2 linked regions of the Rhinolophus ferrumequinum genome follow. The protein of the gene in region 1 purifies or fractionates together with the protein of each later gene. This does not show direct contact. Links are inferred from orthologs where the notes say so. Each region holds a gene or a part of one and is shown on either strand. Other genes may lie near its edges.

Evidence for each region.
Region 2: the proteins of RANBP6 (region 1) and ARMCX3 purify together in Homo sapiens (co-immunoprecipitation; 3 studies listed by BioGRID and IntAct, counting the BioPlex papers as one, with this or other methods). This does not show direct contact. The link is inferred for Rhinolophus ferrumequinum from reciprocal best matches to the Homo sapiens genes RANBP6 and ARMCX3.

What each region holds. Positions count from the first base shown.
Region 1 is NC_046295.1:30,829,259-30,833,176, forward strand, and holds the start of RANBP6 (ran-binding protein 6), read left to right. Parts: upstream 1-949; 5' UTR 950-976; coding exon 977-3,918. UniProt on the Homo sapiens protein: May function in nuclear protein import as nuclear transport receptor.
Region 2 is NC_046284.1:52,950,437-52,954,354, forward strand, and holds the start of ARMCX3 (armadillo repeat-containing X-linked protein 3), read right to left. Parts: upstream 2,463-3,918; 5' UTR 2,309-2,462; intron 1,808-2,308; exon of another isoform or gene 1,788-1,807; 5' UTR 1,701-1,787; intron 1,418-1,700; 5' UTR 1,357-1,417; intron 761-1,356; 5' UTR 618-760; coding exon 1-617. UniProt on the Homo sapiens protein: Regulates mitochondrial aggregation and transport in axons in living neurons. May link mitochondria to the TRAK2-kinesin motor complex via its interaction with Miro and TRAK2.

The sequences.
Region 1 (3,918 bases):
TTGGAATAATCTCAGCAGCTTCCTACTGAAAGGAAAACTGTAAAAGCATTTTACAGTTTAGGCAACGTGCAAGGAAAACCTTGAGTGATATGACCAAGGATACAAAATTAATTTAGAGGTAAGAGCAGGATTCAAGTCTTCTGATTACTGGCCCAGGTCACTTTCCACCATACTTTACTCAGTTGTCTTTCTCATTCTTTATTATAATCCACAGGCCAGATGACTCTGACACATGCCAGAGTTTGATCACCACTGTTCTATTGCATTAGGTATGGTAGTGGGGTGGTAATAATCGTCTTTATCTTTTATTGCACTTATTTGATAAGCAACTTTATTGAGGTATTATTTACATACCATACAATTCACCAATCTAAATTGTACAATTCAATGGTTTTTAGTATGATCACAGAGATGTGCAACCATCACCACAATCAATTTTTATCTTTACATTTTCATCACCCCAAAAGAAACCCCCTGACAGCCATCATTCTTCATTCTCCCTGCTCCTCCCTTCGCCCCAGCTTCTGGCAACCACTAATCTACTTTCTGTATAGATTTGCCTATTCAAGGCCTTTCATATAAATGGAATCATACAATATTTAGCCTTTTGTGATCAGCTTCTTTCACTTAGCCGGTTGTCAACTTGTACTTGTTGTTTTAACATTATCAGGGTAACAATAGAGATAATTTAGAAATAAAGCAAAGGAGAAAAAAAATCACCCATAATCCCATCTTATACAATCAACATCATAATTGTGTTTTTCCCCCCTTCTGCATGTGCATTTTTATCTGTCAAACAGATGGAGGATGCCCCTTACCCGGACCCCGCTCCCCCCCTCCCAAAGCTCAGCCAGCGCGCCCGGAGCGGAGGGAGAAGCGGCCCCGCCCATCCCCACCGGCGCCTCGCTTGCGTCACTGCTTGGAGCCACAGACCCCCCTCCCTCCTTCCGGGTCGCGGTTGCTTTGACAGAGCGCGATGGCGGCGGCCGGGTCTGCAGGGGCACCGGCGACCGTGTCGGGAAAGCAAGAGTTTTACCAGCTTCTGAAGAACCTGATCAATCCAAGCTGTATGGTGCGGAGGCAGGCAGAGGAAATCTATGAAAACATCCCAGGTCTGTGTAAGACTACATTCCTCTTAGATGCCGTCAGAAATAGAAGAGCAGGTTATGAGGTGAGACAAATGGCTGCCGCACTGCTACGACGGCTTTTGTCCTCTGGGTTTGAGGAAGTCTATCCAAATCTGCCTTCTGATGTTCAGAGGGACGTGAAGATTGAACTGATACTGGCTGTTAAGTTAGAAACACATGCTAGTATGAGGAAAAAACTTTGTGATATTTTTGCGGTGCTGGCCAGGAATTTGATAGATGAGGATGGCACTAACCACTGGCCTGAAGGTCTGAAGTTCCTTATTGATTCAATCTACTCTAAAAATGTGGTTCTGTGGGAAGTTGCACTTCACGTTTTCTGGCACTTTCCTGGGATTTTTGGGAACCAAGAGCGGCACGATTTGGATATCATCAAACGGTTGTTGGACCAGTGTATTCAAGATCAAGAACATCCAGCAATCAGGACATTATCCGCTAGAGCTGCAGCTGCATTTGTACTTGCCAATGAGAGTAATATTGCTCTTTTCAAAGACTTTGCAGACTTGCTCCCTGGAATCTTACAGGCTGTGAATGACTCATGCTACCAGGATGATGATTCAGTGCTAGAATCCCTTGTTGAGATTGCAGATACTGTACCTAAATACTTGGGTCCGTATTTAGAAGATACTCTGCAGTTGAGTCTAAAGTTATGTGGAGACTCAAGGCTTAGTAATCTGCAACGCCAGCTGGCCCTTGAAGTAATAGTCACCTTGTCTGAAACTGCAACCCCAATGTTGAAAAAACATACAAATATTATTGCACAGGCAGTTCCTCATATATTAGCAATGATGGTTGATCTACAAGATGATGAGGACTGGGTAAATGCTGATGAAATGGAAGAAGATGATTTTGATAGCAATGCAGTTGCAGCTGAGAGTGCACTAGACAGACTGGCTTGCGGGCTCGGTGGAAAACTTGTTTTACCAATCACTAAGGAGCATATCATGCAGATGCTTCAGAGCCCTGACTGGAAATATCGACATGCTGGATTAATGGCCTTATCCGCCATTGGAGAAGGATGCCATCAGCAAATGGAACCAATTTTAGATGAAATGGTTAACTCTGTTTTGCTTTTTCTTCAGGATCCTCATCCAAGGGTGAGGGCTGCAGCCTGTACTACACTTGGACAGATGGCTACAGATTTTGCGCCTAACTTCCAAAAGAAATTCCATGAAACAGTGATTGCAGCACTGTTACGTACCATGGAAAATCAAGGCAATCAGCGTGTGCAATCACATGCAGCTTCTGCACTTGTTATTTTTATTGAAGACTGCCCCAAATCATTGCTAGTTCTGTATTTGGATAGTATGGTGAGAAATCTACATTCCATCTTGGTGATTAAACTTCAAGAGTTGATTCGGAATGGAACTAAGTTGGCCTTGGAACAGCTTGTGACAACCATTGCCTCAGTTGCGGATACAATAGAAGAAAAATTCATTCCATATTATGATATATTTATGCCCTCACTAAAGCACATTGTTGAGCTTGCTGTTCAAAAAGAACTCAAGCTTCTGAAAGGAAAAACTATTGAGTGCATTAGCCATGTTGGTCTTGCTGTTGGGAAGGAAAAATTTATGCAAGATGCATCAAATGTGATGCAGCTATTGTTGAAGACACAATCAGACTTAAATAATATGGAAGATGATGATCCTCAGACCTCTTACGTGGTTTCAGCGTGGGCTAGAATGTGTAAAATTCTTGGAAATGATTTTCAACAGTATCTTCCACTGGTTATTGAGCCTCTTATTAAGACCGCTTCAGCTAAACCTGATGTTGCTCTCTTAGACACACAAGATGTGGAGAATATGAGTGATGATGATGGCTGGCAATTTGTAAATCTTGGAGACCAGCAAAGTTTTGGAATTAAAACTTCAGGACTTGAAGCAAAAGCAACTGCTTGCCAGATGTTGGTTTACTATGCTAAGGAATTAAGGGAAGGATTTGTGGAATACACAGAACAAGTTGTAAAGCTGATGGTTCCTTTACTGAAATTTTATTTCCATGACAATGTTCGAGTGGCAGCAGCTGAGTCCATGCCTTTTCTCCTGGAATGTGCAAGAATTCGTGGCCCAGAATATCTTGCACAGATGTGGCAGTTCATATGTGATCCCTTAATCAAGGCTATTGGGACTGAACCTGATACAGATGTACTCTCAGAAATAATGAATTCTTTTGCAAAGTCCATTGAAGTAATGGGAGATGGGTGCCTTAATGACGGACAGTTGGAAGAACTGAGAGAAATATTGAAAGCAAAACTTGAAGGTCACTTTAAAAATCAAGAATTGAGGCAGGTTAAAAGACAGGAAGAAAACTATGACCAACAAGTTGAAATGTCTCTGCAAGATGAGGATGAATGTGATGTTTACATTCTGACCAAAGTATCTGATATTTTGCACTCATTATTTAGTACTTACAAGGAAAAGATTTTACCATGGTTTGAACAGCTGCTTCCATTAATTGTAAATCTAATTTGTTCTAATAGGCCATGGCCAGACAGACAGTGGGGATTATGCATATTTGATGATATCATAGAGCACTGTAGTCCAACCTCATTTAAATATGTAGAATATTTTCGGTGGCCAATGCTACTAAATATGCGAGATAACAACCCTGAAGTCAGGCAAGCTGCTGCTTATGGCCTGGGTGTTATGGCACAGTTTGGTGGAGATGATTACCGTTCTTTATGTTCAGAAGCTGTTCCACTGCTGGTAAAAGTTATTAAGTGTGCAAATTCCAAAACCAAAAAAAATGTCATTGCTACGGAGAACTGTAT
Region 2 (3,918 bases), on another chromosome or scaffold:
TGATTCATGTATATTTTAAGCCTGCGCTGATTTTCAGCATTCACACTCAGGTTATTCAGGACAATTAAAGCCTTTTCCTTAACAATGGGATCCCGAGTATTGAGAATCTTTGCAACAATTGGGAGACCACCCAGATCACGAATAATATCTCTGTTAAATGCATAAGCAGCATTGTTACCCAGAGCAATTAAAGCTGCTTCAAGAATATAAGGCTTTTCAGACATCTCAACCAAGCAAAGAACTTTTTGCAGCTCTTGGGGGGACAAAATAGTATCATCTGAGTTGGGGGAAGCCCGTTTCTGAACAGCCCGACGAGCCCGGGTAGCCCTGGCCCTTGCCCTGGCCCTAGCTCTGGTCCCAGCTTCAGTCCCAATCCGGGCCCAAGGTGGGTACCATACTATACCCTTGTTCTCACTGTTGTCATCATCATCATCAGACCAGTCATTGTACCTGGCCCCAGGACAGCCTCCGACATCATCCACATCCCCAGGCCCACCCTCAGCCATTTTCTCTTTGTTCTGTTTTCTTCCCCAGGTCAGTCTATAAATGCAGTAGCAGGCACCAGCCCCAATCACCAGTCCCGCAGTCACCCAGCCTACTTTCCTGGCGTAGCCCATGCAATCGTCCCTGACAATAGCAGGGACCAAGGAACCGAGTAGTCACTCAGGCTAGGGAAGAGCTATGGGCCTGGGTGCAGGCCTGTGGAGGGTAATCGTCTTCAGCAGCTTCAAGGTCACAATAGCTGATACTGGAGGTGAACCTAGGGGTGGAGGAAGGAAATGGGGTTTGAGTTTCTCTTCTCTTTGTGTTGCCCCACGCAGGGAGTTGCACAGAGAGATAGGAGAGTAGTAAATGAGTACTTGATAGAAAATGTAGATTGTTGACAAACTCTATCCCCCTCATTCCACCCTCCACCTACCCTCTCCAGCCCACCCCCTCCCCAAGCCTAGATAAAGGCAATGGAGTCCATAGTCTCTACTGGGGCCTCAGCCAATCCAACCTTGGGTGTCCCCCTTGCACTAGGTGGCAACCTTGCACTAACTTCTTCCAGACAGGCAGTTTGCCCCTTCTTCCCTCCCCTGGAGGTTTGCCACACCCAACAATCCTTGTGATCTGCAGAGACCAGAGCCAGCGAGAACTGAGGGCTTGATAGACTGACTGTTCATTCCTTGCTTTCCTGATTCCCCATCTAGGTTGTTAGATTTTTTTCTTAATAACCTCTTTATGCCATCCAAAATATGCACAGGCCTGCCCCTTCCCTGTTAGGGAAATAAGGTAGGATTGGGTGAACCTGTCCAATCGCAGTGGATTTCCAACCCCTCCCCCATTCCAGGCAGCCCCCACGCCCACACCTACCTCTACTGGTCCCAGGAAACTTCCTCCCTTGCTTCAAGTGGTGCCACCTGCTACAGCAGACCTGCAGGATGACAGATCGAAAACATGAAGACTAAATACTTTTGAGAGAGAAGGATTATGAACAAACTACCTGATAGGTTTCCCTTCTGTCATTCTCCCCCACCCCCGTTCCCCCTACACACACACACACACACACACACACACACACACCCCGCACGCCATTTCGCCTCAGTCCCAAGAGTAAGATAAACACACTCAGACTCAGACCTAACCTATATTATTGTCATCTCTGGTTTCTCCCCACCCCCACCATCGCCCCTCTTAGGGTCCCCAGATGGTCTTACCCTCAAATCGACCTTCACTGATCAGGGTTAATTTCCTTCCTCTTCACTTGACTGGCGTAGTGTCGCAAACTATGGAAACACTGGCAACTGGGAGAGGATCGGACCCACTAAACACAGAGCCACGGTCAGGAAGACACAGCCACAGTCAGAAAGACTGGAAACAGCCGCTACCGAATGCTTGGTGGACGGACCGGTCCCCAGAACATGAAACTCTTTCCTAATTCGGAGGCCTAGCTGTCAAAGGTTTCCCACCCTTATTACCCTTCTCAGGGCTCTGCTGACACATCACGTTGCACGCCCCCTCCCCCATGTCCAGGCTTTCCCCGCCAGCAGTGCCCTAGAGGACTGGGGGCCAACACCCAGGCCACATCTCCCTTTCCGGATTACGGCCTCAGCTCGTAACAGATTCCCACCTCCCGGTTTCTGGGCTGCTCCCCAAACACCCCCTGCTCACCATTTCGCAGCATCAGAATGGGCTGCAGGCGGGACAGATGTCTTGTAAAGCCGGTGGCGAGTGGGAGAGACGACGGAGGCGCCTCAGGACCCGCGACGGTCTCCGCCCTACGCCCTCGAACACCCCCACCTTAAGGAATCTCCCAGGCACTGACCTGCAGGGATCCGGGACAGTTTCCTTCTCCTCCTCCTTCTTCCCTCTGCCTCAGGCTCGCTCGCCCTCAGGGCAATGGGGAGCTGGTACTCAGACGGGAACAACGACCAGAACAAGAAGGACTTCTGCACACGTCAGCTCTTGGTCACGTGAGAGCTACGTCATCCACCAACTCTGGTCCCCAATTTCCCCTCCCACCAGCAGTGCGGCAGAAGAGGACCCGCCCCCCTACATTCCCTCCCCCATACCAGGCCCTGTTACTCTTTCTTTGCTAATTCCATCAACCAGTTAGTTGTGTTTGCCTTCCTCCGATTACCGGAAAGGGAGAGAATCTTCCCTGGGGTTACTGGTCACTTGCACTTTTTGAAAAATTGCCTCTTCCTTCCCTAGGCTTCTGGGACCTCAACCTCTCCTTCCACCTCCCCTCCTCCCAGCTATTAATGTCTACCATTTCCTCTGAAATCTAGTCCCAGATTTGAAACGAGAAGGAAAAAAAAAGAAAGAAAGAAACATCAGAAAAGGAGACTTGGAGTATGAGTGTGGTTTTTACTTTTTAAATACTTTTTTTTGTTATTTTTGTTCTGCCGTCTCCTGCCCCCAGCCTGCATTCTTTTTATGAGAAAAGAAATTACTATAAAGTTGTTTTCATTTGAGAAAAAAAAAAGTTGGAATTGAAGAGTTAATTTGGGTGGATGGCCTCCAAAAGTCCCACATTTTCTCATTTATGGGGAATATTACATGCTTCGCTCAAAGCAATCTTAATGTCTTTTTGGGCCTAGCCCATAACACAACCCTGAATGAGCTAATCAGTGTGTCTGACAATGCATAGATCTAATTTAGGCCAGTCTTCTGAACAGGGAAGTCACAGACTTCTACTTACCTCAGTTAGCAAGGAAGAGGCATGGAGCCCTCAGAAACCAGTTACACACAAAAGGTTGAGTAGAAACCACAACTACATAGTGGATATCTGTTGGATAAGAAAGCATACATACTGACACAGTGAGTGGCATACAAAGAACATTATGAAATATATTTGGGTACAAATAGAAAACATTATCTTTAAATGAAATAGTTGTTAGAGAAACACTGAGACCAAGATAAAATTGGCTGAATTCGCATCTAGCAATTTAGTGCCAAACCATTTCACCAACAGTTTTGATGAACTCAGTGATTCACCTGTCAGCCACAACTGAACTTTTTTATAGAGGGAAAAGTAATAAAATAATGTCAAAACATGAGGTCTACAGTGGGACATTCCCTAACAGCTTGGATATAAGTTTATTATCTGAGTATAACTTTTTAAATCCTGAGACAATGTGGGAGCTAATTAAGAGACTTGACAATTTGGGAACAGACAAAACTCCAGTTAAATTCATAGCAATATAATTTCTGGGAGGCAGTACTTAGAAATGACTGAAATTTAGTAAACAGAAACCACATCAACTATATGATTCTGTGTTTAGAGAAAGAGCATGTGCAGTCAAGGGGGCTTATTTTAGCATGGGAATATCTGAAAAAGAAAGTCAGAGGAAAGTTTTGGTAGTTCCACCCAAGCACTGTCTGGAGGAGAGGGAATGGAACATTTAGCTTTTCTTGGCAAAGCCATCGTCA